Saccharomyces cerevisiae S288C: one gene and its partners. Changing the gene in region 4 together with the main gene of any one other region gives a genetic interaction. Each region holds a gene or a part of one and is shown on either strand. Other genes may lie near its edges. The genes, in order: SER2, ENT3, GGA2 and INP53.

Region 1 (4,864 bases), on a different chromosome or scaffold from region 4:
ATCGGTTACGCCTCAATTGATGATTTTTATTTAACTCACGAGGACCAATTGAAACTCAATGAGCAATTCAAGAACAATAAGCTGTTACAAGGACGTGGTTTACCAGGTACTCATGATATGAAATTGTTGCAAGAGGTATTGAACACCATCTTCAATAATAATGAACATCCGGATCAAGATACTGTCGTACTACCCAAGTACGATAAATCCCAATTTAAAGGAGAAGGGGACCGTTGCCCCACTGGTCAAAAAATCAAGCTACCAGTCGATATTTTTATCTTAGAAGGTTGGTTCCTCGGGTTCAACCCCATTTTGCAAGGAATTGAGAATAATGATCTTCTTACTGGGGACATGGTTGATGTCAATGCCAAGCTCTTCTTCTATAGCGACTTGTTGTGGCGCAACCCAGAAATCAAATCTTTAGGGATAGTATTCACCACCGATAACATTAACAATGTTTATGGCTGGAGACTACAACAGGAGCATGAACTAATATCAAAGGTCGGAAAGGGGATGACCGACGAACAAGTGCATGCTTTTGTGGATAGATACATGCCCTCCTATAAACTTTATTTGAACGACTTTGTCCGGAGTGAAAGTTTAGGTTCCATTGCTACATTGACGTTAGGAATCGACTCCAACAGGAATGTATATTCTACGAAAACGAGATGTATTGAATAGTGATGTTATGACCTTTTTTTTTACGCCTTTTTTTTTTTTTTTTTTTTTTTTAATTTATCTCACTTTTCCCTTCTATTTTATGTACTAACAGATAATTTTATAATGATTTCATGTATTTTTGGTTCAGAATTTTGACAAGGCAACTCTTGAATAATTGTCGTATGCAAAAAAAATTGTTTATCTGTTACATATCCATCATAAAACTTTTATAGAGCTTTTATTGTCCTTCTTATACAAATACCGTTCAGAGGCTGTCCGAGATTTAAGCGGTTTTGGAAAAATTACTGCTATTAATTAAGATTAAAAAGGAAAGGAAAATAGCAATGGGAGCTTATCGCATAAAAAAATGAACAATAATGTTGAAGAACTCCTACGGCGTATTCCCCTCTACAACAAATATGGTAAGGATTTTCCACAAGAAACAGTGACTAGGTTTCAGATGCCTGAATTTAAGTTACCAGCGCTACAACCAACAAGGGACTTATTATGCCCTTGGTACGAAGAATGTGACAATATCACCAAAGTCTGTCAGTTACATGATTCTTCTAATAAGAAATTCGATCAGTGGTACAAGGAGCAATATCTGAGTAAAAAACCACCGGGAATTGTTGGAAACACACTATTATCTCCATCAAGAAAGGATAATTCCTAGTTAAATTGCATTTCGATATCTATGTACACATATACAGCAATTTTTTTTTATAAACCTTAGTAATATTATCAGTTTTCATTTTATGTCATTTGACCTTTGTTGCATTTAAATGGCCTTAACTTCTTTTAACTTTTCAATCAATTCATCCACAGAATTCAATTTCACACCAGGTGACTTAGTCTTTGGCTCTTCCATCGACACTATCTTTAACTGAGGTTCAATATTAATTTCAGGAAAATCTTTTGCTATATCCAATTTTTCAATAGGCTTTTTCTTCGCCTTCATTAGTTTGGGCAGTCCTACGTAACGCGGAGTGTTCAATCTCAAATCTGTAGTAATAACCATTGGTAAGGAAGCTTCAATTACTTCTTCTCCATCGTCAATTTCTCTTGTTACCTGAACTCTACCATTATCAAGGAATTCCACCTTTGCCGCATTTGTTGCCTGTGGCCAATTTAATAAACCTGCCAACATCTGACCGGTGTTGTTACAGTCATCATCAATGGCTTGCTTTCCCATCAAAACCAGATTAGAACCCTTCTTTTCAACAACAGCTTTTAAGATTTTAGCAATTGCTAAGGGCTCTATGTTTTCTTTACCCACAGAGTCAATTAAACTACAGGTGTCTATTCCCTTAGCAAGGCAATTTCTTAGAATATCCTGAGCTTTGGCGGAGCCAATAGAAACTGCATGCGTAGATTCTACTAAACTCTTGTTCTTTTCTTTAATTCTGATGGCTTCTTCGACAGCAATATCATCGAAAGGGTTGATACTGAATTTGATTCCACTGGTTTCAATCCCAGTTAAGGTCTTATTTACTCTAGGCTTGATCTGGAAATCAACTACCCTTTTCACCGGAACTAATATACGTAGTTGCTGTTTTGCAGACATTTTTATTACTCTTTCTGATACTTGATTATCGGGGTTATTGATCCTAGTGTGTCTTGACAACGTTTCTCGAATCAGGATTATTTTACACCGAGAAAGAAAGAGTCAATACTAATAATCTCGAAAGATCTTCAAGTGAAAAATAAAAAAAAATGATAAATAAAAAATAGAAACTATGAAACTATGTAAAAAAAAAACAAATAGACATATCCAAGCAAGTCCAATAGCATAGACATTAAGCACGACAGCTGTAAAAAATGTCAAAGTTTGTTATCACCTGCATAGCTCATGGAGAAAATCTCCCAAAAGAAACCATCGACCAGATTGCGAAAGAAATTACTGAAAGCTCGGCGAAAGATGTATCAATCAATGGTACCAAGAAACTATCGGCCAGAGCTACCGATATATTCATTGAAGTCGCAGGATCGATTGTTCAAAAAGACCTCAAGAATAAGCTGACGAACGTCATTGACAGTCATAATGATGTTGATGTTATTGTTTCTGTCGACAATGAATATCGTCAAGCCAAAAAGCTCTTTGTCTTTGACATGGATTCAACATTAATCTACCAAGAGGTCATCGAATTGATTGCCGCTTATGCTGGTGTTGAAGAACAAGTGCACGAGATCACAGAAAGAGCCATGAACAATGAACTTGATTTCAAAGAGTCTTTAAGAGAACGCGTTAAATTATTGCAAGGCCTCCAAGTCGATACACTATATGATGAAATAAAACAAAAGCTAGAGGTCACCAAGGGTGTGCCAGAACTATGCAAGTTCCTTCACAAAAAAAATTGCAAGCTCGCTGTTTTAAGCGGTGGTTTTATTCAGTTTGCCGGTTTTATCAAGGATCAGTTAGGTTTAGATTTTTGTAAGGCAAACTTGTTGGAAGTTGACACTGATGGAAAATTAACCGGTAAAACACTGGGTCCTATCGTAGACGGACAGTGCAAGAGTGAAACCCTTCTGCAACTATGTAATGACTACAATGTTCCAGTTGAAGCAAGTTGTATGGTGGGTGACGGTGGTAACGACCTGCCAGCCATGGCTACCGCCGGGTTTGGGATCGCATGGAACGCCAAGCCAAAGGTGCAGAAAGCTGCACCTTGTAAGTTGAATACCAAGAGCATGACTGACATTTTATACATTCTTGGTTACACCGATGATGAAATATACAATAGACAATGAAGAAAATAATGATAGATAGATGTAATAGAGTTTCTTTTTAAAATTGTTTATTTAAACTGGTAAACATGATGTACTTTACGTAGCGTTAATATACCGGCAACTATACGTTGGAAGCAATAGCTTGCTTGATAGCAGCTGGGTTGGCACCGACGACTCTGGTAACCTCCTTACCGCCCTTGTAGAAGATTAGGGTAGGCATGGAAGAAACTTCAGCTTTTTGAGCAACATCTGAGACTTCATCAACATCCAACTTGTAAAAAGCAGCGTCAGAATATTGTTCTGCAAACTTTTCAATCATTGGTGCAATCATTTTACATGGCCCACACCATGTGGCAAAAAAGTCAACAACGACTAACTTGTCGCCAGATGCTAAAGCACTGTCGTATTCAGAAGCGGATTTTAATTGAGTGACCATTATTGATGTGTTATTTAAAGATATCGTAGACTCTCGTGTATGTGTGCGTGTATAATTCTTGCTAGACAACAAATAAAAACTGGTCCTCGTTATTCTCTTGTCAGCTTTTCATCCCCCGAATGGCTTTCTTATATACTGATATCCCTCTTTCGGCTGGCTGGAAACTGAACGCGCTTAGTAAGAAAAGAGCCACCTTGTAGGGAGCATCCTTTACTAAGAGTATAAACAATTACACATATACTTTGATGATTACTTAATATTCACTGGCACTCAAGTTATGCTGATCTTGGAGCGATCTTGAAGCCGAGTATGTCATTCTTACCGGGCTCAACAAGACTTTCTTCACTGACTCTCACGCCGCCAACGGTTTCAATGCTTGCAATGGTGACCTCGCCACCCATGATATACCTGGCAACTTTGCCAACAGGGGTTCCTCGCTTGACCAAAAAACAATCTCTAAATACGTTGGTTCCGTTGCCACCCGTAAAAGTCTGGATGTTCTTCACAGTGTACACCGGTATTAGACCAAGGATGTCCGTTGCTGCTTGCAGAACCTGAACAACACCCGTAGATCCGAATCTATACAGGACCAAATCTCTGATATTTTCAATTCTGTTAAGGATCTTGTCGTCCAGTGGCTTTAGTTTGTCTGGCTCGTCCTCAAATGTGTCAACAAATTCCGTGCCCTCCTCGTATAATATAAAACCTTGCTTTTTCAATTTCCTCAAAAAAACTTCCGTCACTGCACTGGTCAGTACAGCTTTGGTGTCAGGATACTTTAGCATGATTTTAGAAACATTTTTATCGGCGTCAGGGTGGTCAATCTTGTTGAGTGCCAACACAGTTGGAAATTTCTCCATCATAAAGGACTTGACCACTCGAGTGATCCATTCGTCATCCCATTTTTCCAAAGGTGGTAGTCCCTTCAACCTGTCCAGGGCTTTTTGGATCATGGGCGCATGTGAACCGTACCCACCGAATTGCGCTTGAAGTGTGTCCACTATGCTAGATTTCGTTGCTGTATGTTTACGCACAATAGAC
Region 2 (4,841 bases), on a different chromosome or scaffold from region 4:
CATTGCAATCTGTATGTTCATAATGCCCGTCCAATTCTGTAGCATCTGATAATAAGAGCATGATGACCATTTTGCAAAAGGCGAAGAAGGCATACAGTAAGAAAACTAATTTATAACATTGCAAATCAGTAGCAGCTAAACCAGTTCTTTTCAAAAGATCTACAAATATACCACAAATTATTGCACCTAGAGCGCTTCCAATTGTTCCAACCAAGGCGTGAATAGCATAAATCTCTGGTCTTGCATTATGAGGACTCAGATGTGCAATCATGGCCTCTTCTATAGATTTGAAAGGCCCGACTTCATCACTTGAAGGCGATATAACACCGAAGATAGCAAATACTAGCAAGAGGGTGAAATTTTCGCTAAAACTGAAAACCAACCCACTTAACAACATCATTGCACAACCATAAACTAGGACTCTTCTTCGGCCCCAGGAATCCGCATACCAAGTAAGAATGTAAGAGCAAATTACATCCCCTGCCAGTGTTAATGACATAAACAGCCCAATTTTATCCTCTGTCATATTGATGGCATTTAAAAAAAGCGTCAAAACTTGATTTGTTAAACCATATGATAGAAGTCTAAGAAAGACGGACGCCCATAGTAGCTTTATGTCTCTACTTGCACACTTGAATTTAACAAAAATTTCCGGTGCCATGGTTACGTTAACTTTAGAAATATTGGTAAATCCTTCTGCAATGAGCTTTTTCGAGATGTGAAAAATTAGTAGAGTTTTCTTTCGTGCCTTTTTTTTCGGTGCGTCAACTTTAATATATAGTTATAATTGCTCTATAATGCTAGGCAAAAATAAACGAGAAGGAAGGTGAGTTTTAGTTCATTGACTAAAAATGAGCAAAAAAAGTCAGGAGTTTTTGTTTTGAAGGGCACTTCAACTCTCGAACTATGGATTTACAGTTTCTTCCTCGTCTTTTTAAGTAAAGTATTTTCAAATGACCAAAATGTAAATAAATTTGAAAAGGGCCCTTCTTTACGAAAAAAAGATCAAAAAAATGTTCACAAACTATTTCACGAAATCAAGACAAACATATAAAGGAGAAATACAGTGGAGATTAGATAGTAATGTTCGTAATACCTGTTACAAAGTACTTTCTATTGTTATAAAACATTTACATATTGTGTAAACCAATAATATCACTCAAAAGGAAAGTAAATCGATTTCTTTGGATGATGTATGGTTATTATTGGTATTCTGTTCTTGTTGAACAGCTCCACCATGCATTTCACCAAATTCGTCATCATCATCTTGATCTGTACTTAGTGCAGTTGTGCTATTAGATACAGGATTAGAGGCAGCGGCTTTCGCTTGGGATGCTTTAGGAGCACTAGGTGCTTCTGCAGATGCCTTTGCAGTTGAAAAGAGAGAGCTAAAAGGATCTACTTTTTTAGGTTCCGCAATAGCTGGGGTAATCTTGCCTTGGTCGGTAGTGGAGCTGTTATAAAAAGGCATTGAACTCGTGGTGGCGGGCATACCCTCAATTGGGCTCGTGTTTAGCAAGTTAAACGAATTAGCAGGGTTGGTAACAGGGACGGCGCTTTGAAATTCTGAAAACTCGTCATCATCGTCCTCTTCTTCGTCCGCCTTCTTTTCATCTTCTTGTATGAGTTCTTTAGATGGTTTTGAAGACTCACTAGAAAAAAAGTCAACAAAGTCCTCTGGTTCTTGTTTTCCTTGCCCAGGAGTAGATGTGGCTCTCGAGGCATTATCGTTATATCCATTTTGACTAAAAGAACCATCTTCGTTATCTTCATTGTCACTATCGAAATCAGCACTCACGCTAATGCCGTGCACTTTCGTTGACGTGAAACCTGCCTTCGAATTCAAACTGCCATCAGCAGAGGCAGATCCTCCAGCAACGCCCTTGTACTTCTTTGCCGTTTCTCTTGCCTTTTTTCTTTCTGCGCGTATCTTATTATCGTCGCTCAATAATTCAATCAAAGCTTTGACCCTAGTTCTGACATTAATTCCTTGATCTCTTCCCTGGGAATCAATATAGTGAAAAGTTTCTAAAATCCTAATTAAGTTAATGCTATTCCTTGTATCATCGATAAACCTTTCAGAACCGTGTTTGATAAGGTAATCGAGCAATTGCAAGGCTTTATAAATTTGCCTCCACTCACTACCTGCCTTTTCAGTGAACCTTCTGAATATCATGGACAAAATTTCTTCTCTTTCCCTGAAATTGTAAGTTCCTTGAGAAATCTGGTCCATTAAAGTGGATGAGGCACCCCAAGGCTCGTTGTTTGTCGCTTCACGAACTTTCCCCTCCATCTCAGTATAATTGAAAACAACATTTTGAGCTTTACGAAAATATTTCTTGGCGTCATATAATGACATGTTGGCTAATGTATCCTCTAAACTCATTCTTCCTAACACTAATTAACGATGTGATCTCCTATCGACGTCCCTACACCTTCCTGAATTGGTAATTTTTGCTTTCCTCAAATAACTGTATCTACAAATCATTTCATGATTCTTCTAGTCCCCTTTTACTTTTCCTAATCACCTCGCACAACGTACGGTGTGACATGTATAAGAAATTGAAGCCATGTTTATAGAGTATATACAAAAAAGCCTCTCATGGTTATTATTCAAAGTCACTCTACGTATGCAAATAAAATAAATGTATATACTGAGGTGAGGTACTTAAATGCTTATTGAAGTAAATAGCGAACGTTGCTGAATTGGCTTAGCAAAATGGTTAACCACTGAATGACCTCGTTTCTATCAATATCAGCCAATCCTTCGTGAAGGCCGGGCAAAACTTCCCCGACAGATCCCTCAAACTTACTAGGTGCTAAAAGAGAGTACTTCATCCATTCCCTGTCTTTCAGTCCTCTGTGTGTAATAAATAATTGATCAATTTGCTTTGATTTGCTATTGGATCGTTGCAGTTTAATATAGCTCTTGATTTTTTTGTAAAAAGCCCAAACAGGTAAAGCTTCCCTACACTCTTTATAGAGAATACCATTTTGTTGGTCAAATTGGATGCTATCTTCCTGTGTGGCAACTTTTAATAAGTCCAGAACCCTTTTTGCTAAGCTGTTCACTTCATCGTCCTGGGGAAATGCTGAAGATAGATTAGAGTGCCATGCGATATACCAGTTATATATTTTCTTCAGGTAAACATGTGTATTGAATCTTGCCAGTTCGTTTTCACTCAGCATCAGCGTTGTCAAACCTACAAACATGGCCATGGTGTTGTGTAACTTGTAGTCAGAATTGGTAAATTTTTCCAACCAAGTTGGGCTATCGAATACGGAGTTACTATGATAGACTGCGCCTGAAGTATCATTGGCATTAAACTGAAAATGTGCAGCGGGCACTCCAAGATGGTACTGAAATGAAGTGTAACTAGACAACCCATCAAGTAGAGAAATAGTGGCATTAGAAGTGTATTTCCAATGGTCGAACAATGACCAGTCTTCGTGCCCATTAAATTCCGTGAGCTTAGCAGCTTCGTATATCACGTCTTGTAAAAGTGGGTTGGCTTTACAGTGAAAATTTGTCCCAGAGATTGCATTATCTAGATTTAGGTATACCAAGGCCCTTCTCCTGAGAATCGCAGCATGAGCTTCTGCATAATCTGTAGATCCCAGAAGGCCGGATCGTTCACCATCCCAACTTATTAGTTTGATAGGACGCAGTGGCTTCCAACCATGCTTAAGTAATTTACTCATTCCTCGTGCAATTTCTAAAAGAATAGCGCTGCCACTATTTGCATCACCGGCGCTACTCGAGGCGAGCGAATCCCTATGAGCTCCGATAATAATCTCCCCCTCAGTGAATATACCAGGGATACTAACCTCTACACTACTCATTTCCTTGATGTTGTAAGTTAGCTCATTATGCAAATGGACTTTATCGATAGAGCTTGAAGGTCCAGTGAATGATCCAAAATCTTTTATATTACTACCGGGCCCAATTTGAAAACCCCTGCCATTCAATCTTTCTAAAATTGGTTGGACATCTCTAGCACTCATCGGCACCGATGGTATCCTCGGCACTCTCCCTACCGGTGACATATGTTCAGTGTCGGAATCCTTGGAGGGATACCCTGGAGTTGTCGGATCTCCTGGAGTGTCACTGAAATAGTTTACAGAATCTCTCCTAATATAACTTGGGTTTCTTGCTGGTCCATAAGGATAGTGTAAAAACCCATTTTCCTCAGTAACTTTACCATCGTCAAATGGGTCTGTATATATAATGACACTGGAAGCGCCATAAAGTTCTGCATTCTTTACCTTTAATCCAGGTAATATTTTACCCGATCGTACGATGTGGATTTTATCTTCAATATCAATGTTTTTCTTCAAAAGTAGCTTGTAATCACTGATGCTACCATAATTGCAAAACACGTATCGAGCAGTTACACTTCCATTTTTTGAATATTGATGGAAACCCTTTTGCCTTTTCCTAGCGTGAGAAGCAGGATCACCTTTAACTCTATCCTCGATCATGCTTGCTTCGTAGACCACTTTACCATTTTCTAAAGGAGCTACGTTAGTGTCTACTGGTTCACCTATCCATGGGTAATATTTTTCAACTTTGGGTTTGTACCCCATATCTAGAAACTCGTCCAAGGTATATTTAAACGTTGACGAATCACTTGCTCCGTTGCTCATGTACCCAGCATACTTGTATACATGTTCTTTCGCTCTATTTTCCTGTTGCAAGGAGTTCAAGTATATCCTATAAACCTCTGCATTCGTCAATCTGGAAGAGTGAAACCGCCGAAAGTCTCTTGATAAAGACGTCCTGGGAGCAAATGCGGCAACAAATCCCATGTACAAAAGGAGACTCGCTAGAATCAAGTACA
Region 3 (5,632 bases), on a different chromosome or scaffold from region 4:
GAAGAACGAAACGGACTCCACAGTTTCTAATATAAATAAACAATGATAAAACATATAGTTTCGCCATTCAGGACGAATTTTGTTGGCATCAGCAAGTCCGTGCTGTCAAGGATGATTCATCACAAGGTTACAATCATAGGTTCTGGCCCCGCTGCCCACACCGCTGCTATATACTTGGCAAGAGCAGAGATGAAGCCCACATTATATGAGGGAATGATGGCCAACGGAATTGCTGCTGGTGGCCAATTGACAACAACCACCGATATCGAAAATTTCCCAGGGTTTCCTGAATCGTTGAGTGGCAGTGAACTGATGGAGAGGATGAGGAAACAATCTGCCAAGTTTGGCACTAACATAATTACCGAGACTGTCTCTAAAGTCGATTTATCTTCAAAACCATTCAGATTATGGACCGAATTTAATGAGGATGCAGAGCCTGTGACCACTGATGCTATAATCTTGGCCACGGGTGCTTCCGCTAAGAGAATGCATTTACCAGGGGAGGAAACCTACTGGCAGCAGGGAATATCTGCCTGTGCTGTATGTGATGGTGCAGTCCCTATCTTTAGAAACAAGCCATTGGCCGTTATTGGTGGTGGTGACTCTGCGTGTGAGGAAGCGGAATTTCTTACGAAGTATGCGTCGAAAGTATATATATTAGTAAGAAAGGATCATTTTCGTGCATCTGTAATAATGCAGAGACGAATTGAGAAAAATCCAAACATCATTGTTTTGTTCAACACAGTTGCATTAGAAGCTAAGGGTGATGGTAAGTTATTGAATATGTTGAGAATTAAGAATACTAAAAGTAATGTGGAGAACGATTTAGAAGTAAATGGACTATTTTACGCAATAGGTCACAGCCCTGCCACAGATATAGTTAAAGGACAAGTAGATGAAGAAGAGACGGGGTATATAAAAACTGTGCCTGGATCGTCTCTGACTTCTGTGCCAGGTTTTTTTGCTGCAGGTGACGTTCAGGACTCTAGGTATAGACAAGCAGTTACTTCTGCTGGTTCCGGATGCATTGCTGCTTTGGATGCAGAACGGTACCTAAGTGCCCAAGAGTAACGTGAAAAAACCGGTTTATTTTTGTTTTTACTGTTCGATTGTGTTACGTATTCTATGTTTTTTGAGATATATTTGAAATATTTTTATAAGATACATATATATATGTGCGTATTGCTGCGACAAAAGAAGAGACAAAGAGATAGGCGTTGAAATTGACGAGACAAAGAGGAAGACATTAATTAATCATCATTTTAAATGGGATTTTTTTACTTGCAAGCTTTTGACCTGCTCTTCTAGTTTTTTTACCTTTCCTTGAATTTCTTCCAAGTCACCGTTCAGTCTGATTCTTTCGTTAACAATGTTTTGCTCCCATTGTCTAAATCTTTGCTCCTCAGCTTTGACTTGGTCAGTGAAATACTTCTTCAATGCATTTTCTTCTTCTTTGTATCTAGGATTGTGTGACAATTTCCTTGCTGGTGCAATTGCTGGAAGAGTGAAATCTTCATTCCCCTCCCCGGTGTTCTCGTGACCCTCAAGTCTTAATCTTCTGTATGTTTCGTAATGCATTTCTTGGGTGGTAGAAATCAAATCTAATAGATAAGTCCTCAGTAACAGGGCTCTGAGCTTACGGAAATCACAATGAGAATCGTTTTCGATTTCCACAAGTCCCCAAGGATACTTCCTTGCAACTACCTGAGTGCCTTGCCCATTGTCAAATTTTTTTTCAGACCCTACTATGGCAAATGGCATTGCTTCTATCAACTGTCTTGCATGTTCAACAGCGGCAGAATCTGGATTACTGCCACTTTTGGCATCTTCCTTAGAATCAGCGTCTAATGGAGGCGTGAAAATACGAATTTCTTGAGCTTCTATTACTTGCCTGATTCTGGACTTGAACTGTTGTAATTCTTGGGCAGTCAATGTATCAGCTTTCGCAATAACTGGAATCAGATTGGCTCTGGTTGACAATCTCTTCATAGTCTCAATGTCAATTGGCTTTAAACCATGTCCAGTGGGCCTGATGAAGTACAGAACGGCATGAACTCTCAAGTCAAATTTCTTAGTACGGTACGGTTGCTGCTCTTGACGCATATAAGAATCGTGTTGATCATCAATAAAATCCACCAATGGTTGCCAGGCTTTGTTGTTATTCACGTTATCTCCAAAACCTGGGGTGTCGATGACATTAACGCGTAATTCGAAATGCTTCTCTTCCAGCAAAGCTCTTGTGATGTCGATTTCTACAGTCTTTCTGATGGGTTCTTGGCGGTGTTGCTGACCATCTGCCCTTTTCAAGACAGTCTGAAATAAGGTATTAATAAATGTAGTTTTACCCAATCCGCTCTCACCACATAACATCACGGTGAATGTACCACCTTCTTCATTAACAATTTTATAACGCTGGTTGGGAAGATTGGATATCCCTACAGGAGGAGGAACAGGGGCAGCAGTCGCAGTGGCAGCACTCATTATTTGATACAATATGTGATGTAGTTCGTTATCAATACTCTTCAGGTCAAGATCCTATATCTTGCTGCACCTTTCAAGACTTTGATCTACTCAAAACAAACAATGGTGATTTCGAAAAAAATTTCGGATTCTTCACTTTTCCAGCGCCCTGTTTTTTTTCTGTAATCACGATTGCAAAAAAAAGAGACTTACCATAGGACAATTTCCATAAACAAAACAAAGAGCAACATAACTCATAGCTGAATTGCTAATCGTGATACTGCATCATGTCCCATCCGCACTCACATAGCATATATTTGTCTGAGTTGCCCGTCAGGAAACCTCAAGCCTTGGGCAATCCTCTTTTGAGGAAGATTCAAAGAGCTTGCAGAATGTCACTTGCTGAACCAGACTTGGCGTTGAATCTTGACATTGCTGACTACATTAATGAAAAACAGGGCGCTGCCCCTAGGGATGCTGCCATTGCACTTGCTAAACTGATCAACAATAGAGAATCGCACGTGGCAATATTCGCGTTATCTCTATTAGACGTGCTTGTCAAGAATTGTGGATACCCATTCCACTTGCAAATTTCTAGAAAGGAATTTTTGAATGAACTGGTCAAGAGATTTCCAGGTCACCCACCATTACGTTATTCTAAGATTCAGAGATTGATTTTAACTGCTATTGAAGAATGGTATCAAACAATTTGTAAACACTCAAGCTACAAGAATGATATGGGTTATATTAGAGACATGCACCGTTTGTTGAAATATAAGGGTTATGCATTCCCCAAAATCAGTGAATCCGACCTAGCAGTTTTGAAGCCTAGTAATCAATTGAAGACCGCTAGTGAAATTCAAAAGGAGCAGGAAATTGCTCAAGCTGCAAAACTCGAAGAATTGATCAGGCGTGGTAAACCTGAAGATTTGAGGGAAGCTAACAAATTAATGAAAATCATGGCAGGGTTCAAAGAAGACAATGCCGTTCAAGCTAAACAGGCTATTTCCAGTGAATTGAACAAATTGAAGCGTAAAGCCGATTTGCTGAATGAAATGCTGGAATCACCTGACTCACAAAACTGGGATAACGAAACTACACAAGAACTTCACAGTGCATTAAAGGTAGCTCAACCAAAATTTCAAAAGATCATTGAGGAAGAACAGGAAGACGATGCGTTAGTGCAGGATCTATTGAAGTTTAATGATACAGTTAATCAACTATTGGAAAAATTCAACTTATTGAAAAACGGTGACTCCAACGCTGCTTCGCAGATACATCCAAGTCATGTTTCTGCTCCGTTACAACAATCTTCTGGTGCTTTAACGAATGAAATCAACTTAATCGATTTCAATGATTTGGACGAAGCGCCCTCTCAAGGCAACAACAATACCAACGGCACGGGTACACCAGCAGCAGCGGAAACATCTGTCAATGACTTATTGGGCGATTTGACCGATTTATCTATTTCGAACCCTTCAACCGCTAACCAAGCATCCTTTGGTCTGGGAGGCGATATCGTGTTGGGGTCCTCTCAACCCGCACCACCAGTTACTACTACTAACAACTCGAACAACACTTTAGATCTTTTGGGACTTTCAACTCCTCAATCGCCAACTAATTCCCAAGCAGTAAACAGTAGTGGGTTCGATCTTTTGATGGGATTTAATCCAACAACAGGTACTACTACTGCGCCCGCAAGAACCCTAGTCAATCAGTCTCCTAACTTGAAGATTGAGTTCGAAATATCTAGGGAGTCAAACTCAGTTATAAGGATAAAATCGTTCTTTACAAACTTAAGTTCGTCACCGATCTCCAACTTAGTGTTCTTATTAGCAGTCCCTAAGTCAATGTCTTTGAAATTGCAACCCCAATCGAGTAACTTTATGATTGGCAACGCTAAAGATGGTATCTCTCAAGAAGGTACAATTGAAAATGCGCCAGCTAACCCTTCAAAGGCTTTGAAAGTCAAGTGGAAGGTCAACTATTCTGTCAACTCCACCCAAGCTGAAGAAACTGCTGTTTTTACGTTACCTAATGTATAATCCTCTGGCGTTTCTTATCAATCCTTTCTCTTCTCTATGTATATTTTTAGAAGGATAATACCTCTATGTAGACAATCTTATAAAGATCTTCGCAACAATACATATTTCACTTACTAATATATGTTGCGTTTTCATGCATCAAAAGTAGTTAGCAATGCTAGATCGTGTAAAGGAAAAAAAAGAGAAATAGTATAATTCGCCATCCTCATAACCACTGAAAAATCGAAGTTAACCAAAAGGAAAGTTGAAATGGAGGAAGTGTTCCGTTTTTACTCGAACTCTAGAAATATCTTCATTCATAAAAGCCTTTCATTAAAACCATCCACCATTGATGACCCCAAAAGTGGATATGGCCTTTTCGTAGAACCTTCGAAGTTCAAGAATGATGAATTGAAAAGTGAAACTATCCAATTGCTCCGAATCCCTAAGCGCTGCACGTTTAATATAAACACACTTCTGGCTCTCTTGGGAGATGAGGACGAATTTTCTTCAAAGGAAGAATTTCAAAGAACTAATGACAAAATTAAGATTGCTCTTCGTGAAATAATGGCTCATCCGAATTTCAGTGTGTTCCTGACAGAAACAAATTTACTCATAATTTATTTCATGATATTTCAAACTATTCGTAGTCGTTATGAGATTCCCGAAAATATCCAATATTATTTAGAAAATGTTTTAATGAGCATTGAAGTAGAAACAGCCATGGATTCTATTGAAAACTTAGCTACTGATTATGGACATTATCCACAGATTTTTGGCCTTCGAGAGACGCTAAATTTATTTAAAGAACTGTTTCACGACGTCTTGAATTTAAGTGATATCAAACATCTTTATTCTGCAATAATTTCACGTTGTTTAGAGATACCAGAAAGGGCCGATACCAAAAGTGAAGAATTCACGGTCCATTCTACTTTAGTCCCTATTGTAGATTTTGCCAACCATGAAGGCACCCAAAAAAATGCTTATTTTGACATCGACCCTTCAAATAATGACGTTTTACTTCTATTGGATACAAAAGCGGTCCAAAGTGAACTCACAAAACCTATTGAAGTTTTCATTAGTTACTCACCAACAGAGGATTTATTTTCCATGCTTGTAACATATGGATTCACCCCAGATTTTAGAGG
Region 4 (7,301 bases):
GATTTGTGAGTTCTGTTAATGAGAAAAAGTACTCCGCCACATATGCCCACAATGACTCTGCTACGGAACAAGATCTCAAAAACGAGTCTACAACTTCTTTTTCGTCATTAGGCGTGGAGGATATTTCTGAAGATAGAAATTCGTATCTTAAGAAGCCTGATATCAATGGTTTGTCAACTATCATTCAAGAAACGTCTGCAAACACGACCAATGAGTCGCAATGCAGCGATCGCACTTCTCGGCCAAGCGAGTCCTCTTCCTCACTCAACACTACCAGCTCGACCTACAAGAATACCAGCACTAGAAATCTGCAAAAACCGCAAAATACAGGAATTCTCAACTCGGGGAAAGGTTTATTGCAAAAACTTAACTTTGTTAAAAAACGGAAATCTTTCAAACAGCCTTCAGGCGTCATTTGTAGCCATTATAACAGCAATGTTCAAAACCGTTTGAAAGGACAAAACAGTCATCAACAAAGATAGCCTCTTCATCATCTGTGGAGACACAAATATCTTCATCCTCATCGCCATTACCCAATAAAGCGATCGGTAAAAATGAAAAAAGCGTTGAAAACGGCTTTAAAAAGCTAAATTTGCATGATATCAGTTAATCAAGATTAGAACTTTGATTAAGTAGAACAACGATAGAAAATCCGCTTTTCTGGCTAGTTCCCTCGTTTCATATTAATTCATTTCACACAATTTACTTCATTTCATCACGCTCATATTGTTTGTAACTTTAGTTTTTATTTAATTTTACGTACATGACACTGCATATAATTATTTCACAGGCATTTAAAATAAGAGCATTGGGCACAGTCTTCTTTTATATGTTGTCATATTCAAACACTAAACATTTATCTGTATAGTAATTAATGTTAGCTCTTCCTTCTGCATGGCGCTTGTTATATACTTCATTCGTCTATTTTGGTGCCGCGCGCCATCATGGTCCGGTAACGGTCGTAGTGAATGACTCATATTTTTCCATCTCTTTCGGCCTTGCCAAAAAATGAAAAAAAAAAAAAAAAAAAAAAAAAAAATTAAAAACGATGTCCAGAATCACAACTACAACATAGTTTTGCCTCTTACTGGCTTGATTGGAAGTTAGCTGTTAAATTTCAATAATGCCTTACTTTACTCCACGAAATCACAATCCTTGTTTTCGGCTTATAAGGGTCTTCTCCTTAGGATAATACTATCGGCACATTATCATTTAGCCGCGTAGCCATGGTAAAACATTCGTTCATAGCGCTAGCTGAGCATGCTAGTAAACTAAGAAGGTCTATCCCACCCGTCAAACTGACTTATAAAAATATGCTACGGGACCCATCGGTAAAATATAGGGCGTTTGCTCCACCAAAAATGGTCAAGAGGATTTGGCCTGACAAAACTATTCAAAAGGCTCCACGTTGGCTGTCTACTGACTTGAGGGACGGTAATCAATCTTTACCGGACCCAATGTCTGTGGCTCAAAAGAAAGAATATTTCCACAAGTTGATCAACATCGGTTTCAAAGAAATCGAAGTGTCTTTCCCCTCTGCATCTCAAACAGATTTCGACTTCACCAGGTATGCTGTAGAAAACGCTCCAGATGATGTTGGTATTCAATGTCTTGTCCAATCTAGAGAACACTTGATTAAAAGAACCGTGGAAGCATTGACTGGTGCTAAAAGGGCTACCATACATACTTACTTGGCCACAAGTGACATGTTCCGAGAAATTGTCTTCAATATGTCTAGAGAGGAAGCTATTTCTAAAGCTGTAGAAGCCACCAAACTGGTTAGGAAACTAACCAAGGATGACCCTTCCCAGCAAGCTACTCGTTGGTCCTATGAGTTTTCTCCCGAATGTTTCAGTGATACGCCAGGTGAATTTGCTGTAGAAATTTGTGAAGCTGTTAAAAAGGCTTGGGAACCTACCGAGGAAAATCCGATCATTTTCAACTTACCAGCTACTGTAGAAGTTGCCTCTCCAAATGTTTACGCTGATCAAATTGAGTACTTCTCTACCCACATTACTGAGCGTGAGAAGGTCTGTATTTCTACGCATTGTCACAATGACCGTGGTTGCGGTGTCGCCGCCACAGAATTAGGTATGCTTGCAGGCGCTGATCGTGTAGAAGGTTGTCTATTTGGTAATGGTGAACGTACAGGTAATGTTGATTTGGTTACAGTTGCCATGAATATGTATACCCAAGGTGTTTCTCCTAATTTAGATTTCTCAGATTTAACTTCAATTTCTGAAATTGTCCATCGCTGTAACAAGATTCCAATTCCCCCAAGAGCCCCATATGGCGGTGAATTGGTTGTTTCTGCCTTTTCTGGTTCTCATCAGGATGCAATTAAGAAGGGATTTGCAATCCAAAACAAGAAACAGGCTCAAGGAGAAACTCGGTGGAGAATTCCATACTTACCATTGGATCCAAAGGATATTGGACGTGATTACGAAGCCGTCATCAGAGTCAACTCTCAATCCGGTAAGGGTGGTGCTGCTTGGGTTATTATGAGATCTCTAGGATTAGATGTACCAAGACCAATGCAAGTTGATTTCTCCAATACTCTACAGAAAAATGCAGATGCCTTAGGAAGAGAGTTAAAATCCGAAGAGATTACAAAATTGTTCAAAGAAACTTACAACTACAACAACAATGAACATATATACGTCACCTTGTTGAATTACGAAGTTAAGAAATTGAACCCAGAGCGTAGAGCTTTAGTGGGCCAGGTAGAAATCAACGATAAGGTTGTCAACATCGAAGGCTACGGAAATGGTCCTATCTCTTCTTTGGTGGATGCGCTATCCAATTTACTGAATGTTAAGTTGAGCGTTCAAAACTACTCTGAACATTCCTTGGGTTCTGGTTCTGCAACCCAAGCGGCATCTTTCATAAATCTTTCCTACATAAAGGACATCAATAATCATGCTACTAGTAATATGTGGGGTGTTGGTGTCTCCGAAGACACTGGGGATGCATCTATTAAGGCGGTATTTGCTACTGTCAATAATATTATTCATTCCGGGGATGTTCTACTGGCAGAGTAATAGAAAGGAGTAGCTTATGATTACTCATGTTATATATATATGTATTTTTATTTATAAATGGCACAGAAAAGTAACTTATTTCACGTTAAAAAGACATCTTTCAGCGAAGTTTCCAAACACTTCTTCGATGTCTGTGTGGAAAGTTTCTTTCGTTTATAGTTTTATTATTTTTTTTTGCTTTTTTTCCCATGGTACCATTTCCTTTCGTGAAACATTTTACCCAGGCCCACCCACCGCATAATCTTAACTGAATCCGAATAGGGATTTTTCGAGCACTACTGCAACTGTTGAGTGAGCTAGGAGTAGTGTAATTTGAGACTTTGTGAAGGGAGAACAGTCAATATCCAATATCATATTAAGAAAGCTAGCAGTACCTTAAGAGGAAGAAAGAAAATAACTGGGGCGAAGAATATCTAGTTATCCACTCCTTCATAGAATGATTATCTTTGTTTCAGAAGAACCTGAAAGGAGGCTAGCCATTGTATCCAACTTGTATGCTCTTGTTCTTAAACCGGTTGGGAAAAAGCCATCTGATAAACCCCTTTGTGCCATTGAACTTCTTCAAAAAAATGATTTGAAAAAATATGGCTTCAAAAGACTTACATCACACGAAATTTTTGGTGTTATCGGACTCATTGAGGTTAATGGCCTGCTGTTTGTTGGTGCCATCACTGGGAAATCAAAAGTTGCACAGCCATGCCCAGGAGAGACTGTGAACAAAATTTTTGCTGTCGATTTTTTTTGTTTAAATGACAACAGTTGGGATTTTATTGAAATCGACTCCTCAGGTTATCCTGTGTTGCCGGAGACTGCTTCAACTGAATATCAAGACGCCTTGCCAAAACATCCATGCTATGAATTGAAGAAACTATTATCCAATGGATCTTTTTATTATAGTTCAGATTTTGATTTGACCTCAACCTTACAGCATCGTGGATATGGTCAGCATTCTTTGAGTACAGATACCTACGAAGAAGAATATATGTGGAACTCTTTTCTCATGCAAGAAATGATCACATACAGAGATCATTTGGACACAAATTTGAAACAAATCTTGGATGACGAGGGGTTTTTAACAACAGTTATCCGTGGATTTGCGGAAACTTTCGTCTCGTACGTTAAGAAGTTGAAAGTTGCTCTTACTATCATCTCGAAACAGAGCTGGAAAAGAGCAGGAACAAGATTTAATGCACGTGGTGTGGATGATGAGGCAAACGTTGCCAATTTCGTAGAAACGGAATTCATTATGTATTCTAGCCAATACTGTTATGCTTTTACACAGATTAGAGGCAGTATACCTGTATTCTGGGAGCAAGGTACCTCTTTAATCAATCCAAGAGTACAAATTACAAGATCATTTGAAGCCACCCAACCGGTATTTGACAAACATATCATGAAATCAGTGGAAAAGTACGGACCTGTGCATGTCGTTAATTTGTTATCAACGAAATCTTCTGAAATTGAACTTTCAAAACGATACAAGGAGCATTTAACTCATTCAAAAAAATTGAACTTCAACAAAGATATATTTTTGACAGAATTCGATTTTCATAAAGAAACTTCGCAAGAAGGCTTTTCCGGTGTCAGAAAACTCATTCCATTAATATTGGACTCTCTTTTATCTTCTGGCTATTATTCTTACGATGTTAGAGAAAAAAAGAACATATCTGAACAACATGGCATATTTAGGACCAACTGTTTAGATTGTTTGGATAGAACAAATTTAGCTCAGCAAATTATTTCTTTGGCTGCTTTTAGAACTTTTCTCGAAGATTTCCGATTGATTAGTTCAAATTCGTTCATCGACGATGATGATTTCGTTTCTAAACATAACACCCTGTGGGCTGATCACGGTGATCAAATTTCCCAAATATATACTGGTACTAATGCTTTGAAGTCCTCATTTTCAAGAAAAGGTAAAATGTCACTTGCTGGGGCATTATCAGACGCCACAAAATCGGTCAGCAGAATATATATTAACAATTTCATGGATAAAGAAAAGCAACAAAATATCGATACTTTGTTGGGAAGGTTACCGTATCAGAAAGCAGTGCAACTTTATGATCCCGTAAACGAATACGTAAGTACGAAATTACAAAGCATGTCTGATAAGTTCACATCAACCTCCAACATTAACTTGTTAATAGGATCATTCAATGTTAATGGCGCAACCAAAAAAGTTGATTTATCAAAGTGGTTATTTCCAATCGGTGAAAAATTTAAACCCGATATTGTTGTTTTAGGTCTTCAAGAAGTTATAGAACTATCTGCGGGTTCGATTTTGAACGCTGATTACTCGAAAAGCTCTTTCTGGGAAAACTTAGTGGGTGATTGCTTAAACCAGTATGATGATAAATATCTGTTGTTAAGAGTAGAGCAAATGACTTCTTTACTAATTTTATTTTTTGTTAAAGCAGACAAAGCTAAATACGTCAAACAAGTGGAGGGTGCTACTAAAAAAACTGGCTTTAGGGGTATGGCTGGGAATAAAGGTGCAGTGTCTATAAGATTTGAGTACGGTGCCACTTCATTTTGTTTTGTCAATTCTCATCTCGCAGCAGGAGCTACGAATGTCGAAGAACGTCGAAGTGATTACGAGAGCATAGTTAGAGGTATTACTTTCACTAGAACTAAGATGATTCCTCATCACGATTCGATTTTCTGGTTAGGTGACATGAATTATAGAATAAATCTACCGAACGAAGACGTCAGAAGAGAGTTGCTCAACCAAGAAGAAGGATATATCGATAAACTGTTGCATTTTGATCAACTTACCCTAGGTATTAATTCTGGCAGTGTATTTGAAGGCTTCAAAGAACCAACTCTCAAGTTCCGTCCAACATACAAGTATGATCCCGGGACAGGAACTTATGATTCTTCTGAAAAGGAAAGGACGCCGTCATGGACAGATAGAATTATTTATAAAGGGGAAAACTTACTTCCTTTATCTTATTCAGATGCTCCGATAATGATTAGCGACCATCGGCCAGTTTACGCAGCATATAGAGCAAAAATAACTTTTGTTGATGATAAAGAGAGACTATCTCTCAAGAAACGTTTATTCACAGAATACAAACAAGAGCATCCCGAAGAACCGGGTTCTCTGATATCGGATCTTCTCAGCCTTGATCTGGATAATAAGAGCACTGATGGATTCAAAAGCTCTTCTGAAAGTTCTCTACTTGATATTGATCCGATAATGGCACAACCGACAGCGTCCAGCGTTGCTTCTTCGTCACCTGTGTCTTCAGCATCGGCTTCACTACAACCTGTCAGAACTCAAAACAGTAGCCAGTCGCGTACCCCCATAAAGAAACCGGTATTGCGCCCCCCACCCCCACCTGCTCATAAATCTGTATCAGCACCTGCTCCTTCAACATCGAAGGAAAAATCACCAACACCACAGACCTCAACTGCATCGTTGTCATCTGTGACTAAAAATATACAGGAAAATAAACCATTGGCGCAAAATAGACGAATTCCACCACCAGGTTTTAGTCAAAATATATTAACTCCAAAAAGTACCAGTAACTTGGCTTCGCCTATGTCTTCTAAGGTTGATTTATATAATAGCGCGAGTGAATCTACACGTTCAGCCCAAGATGCAAGACAACAGACACCTACAGCATTTGCAGCATCAAGAGACGTCAATGGGCAGCCCGAAGCTTTGCTAGGTGATGAAAATCCAATTGAGCCAGAGGAAAAGGCCAAACTAAACCATATGACTTTAGACTCATGGCAGCCATTGACCCCAAAATGAGAATATGTTATCTTTGAAGTGTGGTTGTTGTTCCGTTTGTATCCCTTTAAATGAACGAAGAGAAACAAGGGGGCTAACCTGGCCAGGTTGTTTTATGTGATTTTATTTAGATAAATATTTATATAAATATTCAGTGAGAGAAAAGGAGTGCGTTAATAAGGCGCGCCGGGTTTAAAGCTGAAAAATAGGACACATTAATATATATACGTTAAATATTGGTGAATACTTATGGGCAAGGTGGAAGAGAATCTCTACTATCCATAAATCCTCAGTAGGCTTTCCCCTAATTACCTTCATTTTTCTACCTCAATAACATATTACTCCTTTTCAATACATTTTATGGTGGTGAACACGATATATATCGCAAGGCATGGATACAGATCCAACTGGCTTCCGGAGGGTCCATATCCTGACCCACTTACAGGAATTGATAGCGATGTTCCTTTAGCAGAACACGGAGTCCAGCAAGCCAAAGAGTTGGCCCATTACCTTTTGTCCTT

What was found.
Region 1: mutations in INP53 (region 4) and SER2 together harm fitness more than expected from each alone (negative genetic interaction), as found in Saccharomyces cerevisiae (3 studies listed by BioGRID).
Region 2: mutations in INP53 (region 4) and ENT3 together harm fitness more than expected from each alone (negative genetic interaction), as found in Saccharomyces cerevisiae (3 studies listed by BioGRID).
Region 3: mutations in INP53 (region 4) and GGA2 together harm fitness more than expected from each alone (negative genetic interaction), as found in Saccharomyces cerevisiae (4 studies listed by BioGRID, with this or other methods).

Annotation. Positions count from the first base shown.
Region 1 is NC_001139.9:909,405-914,268, forward strand, and holds SER2 (phosphoserine phosphatase), read left to right. Parts: upstream 1-2,478; coding exon 2,479-3,408; downstream 3,409-4,864. Other genes in the region: TDA10 (putative ATP-dependent kinase), read left to right, coding at 1-681; ubiquitin-binding ESCRT-I subunit protein MVB12, read left to right, coding at 1,028-1,333; CIR1 (Cir1p), read right to left, coding at 1,439-2,224; thioredoxin TRX2, read right to left, coding at 3,509-3,823; YGR210C (uncharacterized protein), read right to left, coding at 4,099-4,864.
Region 2 is NC_001142.9:653,578-658,418, forward strand, and holds ENT3 (Ent3p), read right to left. Parts: upstream 2,387-4,841; coding exon 1,160-2,386; downstream 1-1,159. Other genes in the region: YJR124C (uncharacterized protein), read right to left, coding at 1-661; VPS70 (putative zinc metalloprotease), read right to left, coding at 2,677-4,841. UniProt on the Saccharomyces cerevisiae protein: Involved in the recruitment of clathrin to the Golgi network and endosomes to form clathrin coated vesicles. Plays a role in the trafficking of clathrin between the Golgi network and endosomes.
Region 3 is NC_001140.6:325,556-331,187, forward strand, and holds GGA2 (phosphatidylinositol 4-phosphate-binding protein), read left to right. Parts: upstream 1-2,747; coding exon 2,748-4,505; downstream 4,506-5,632. Other genes in the region: thioredoxin-disulfide reductase TRR2, read left to right, coding at 43-1,071; septin CDC12, read right to left, coding at 1,258-2,481; CTM1 (cytochrome c lysine N-methyltransferase), read left to right, coding at 4,755-5,632. UniProt on the Saccharomyces cerevisiae protein: May play a role in the regulation of membrane traffic through the trans-Golgi network.
Region 4 is NC_001147.6:521,801-529,101, forward strand, and holds INP53 (phosphatidylinositol-3-/phosphoinositide 5-phosphatase INP53), read left to right. Parts: upstream 1-3,477; coding exon 3,478-6,801; downstream 6,802-7,301. Other genes in the region: GTPase-activating protein RGS2, read left to right, coding at 1-482; 2-isopropylmalate synthase LEU9, read left to right, coding at 1,227-3,041; transcription factor TFIIIC subunit TFC7, read left to right, coding at 7,141-7,301. UniProt on the Saccharomyces cerevisiae protein: Dephosphorylates a number of phosphatidylinositols (PIs) like phosphatidylinositol 4,5-bisphosphate (PtdIns(4,5)P2), but also phosphatidylinositol 3-phosphate (PtdIns(3)P), phosphatidylinositol 4-phosphate (PtdIns(4)P), and phosphatidylinositol 3,5-bisphosphate (PtdIns(3,5)P2).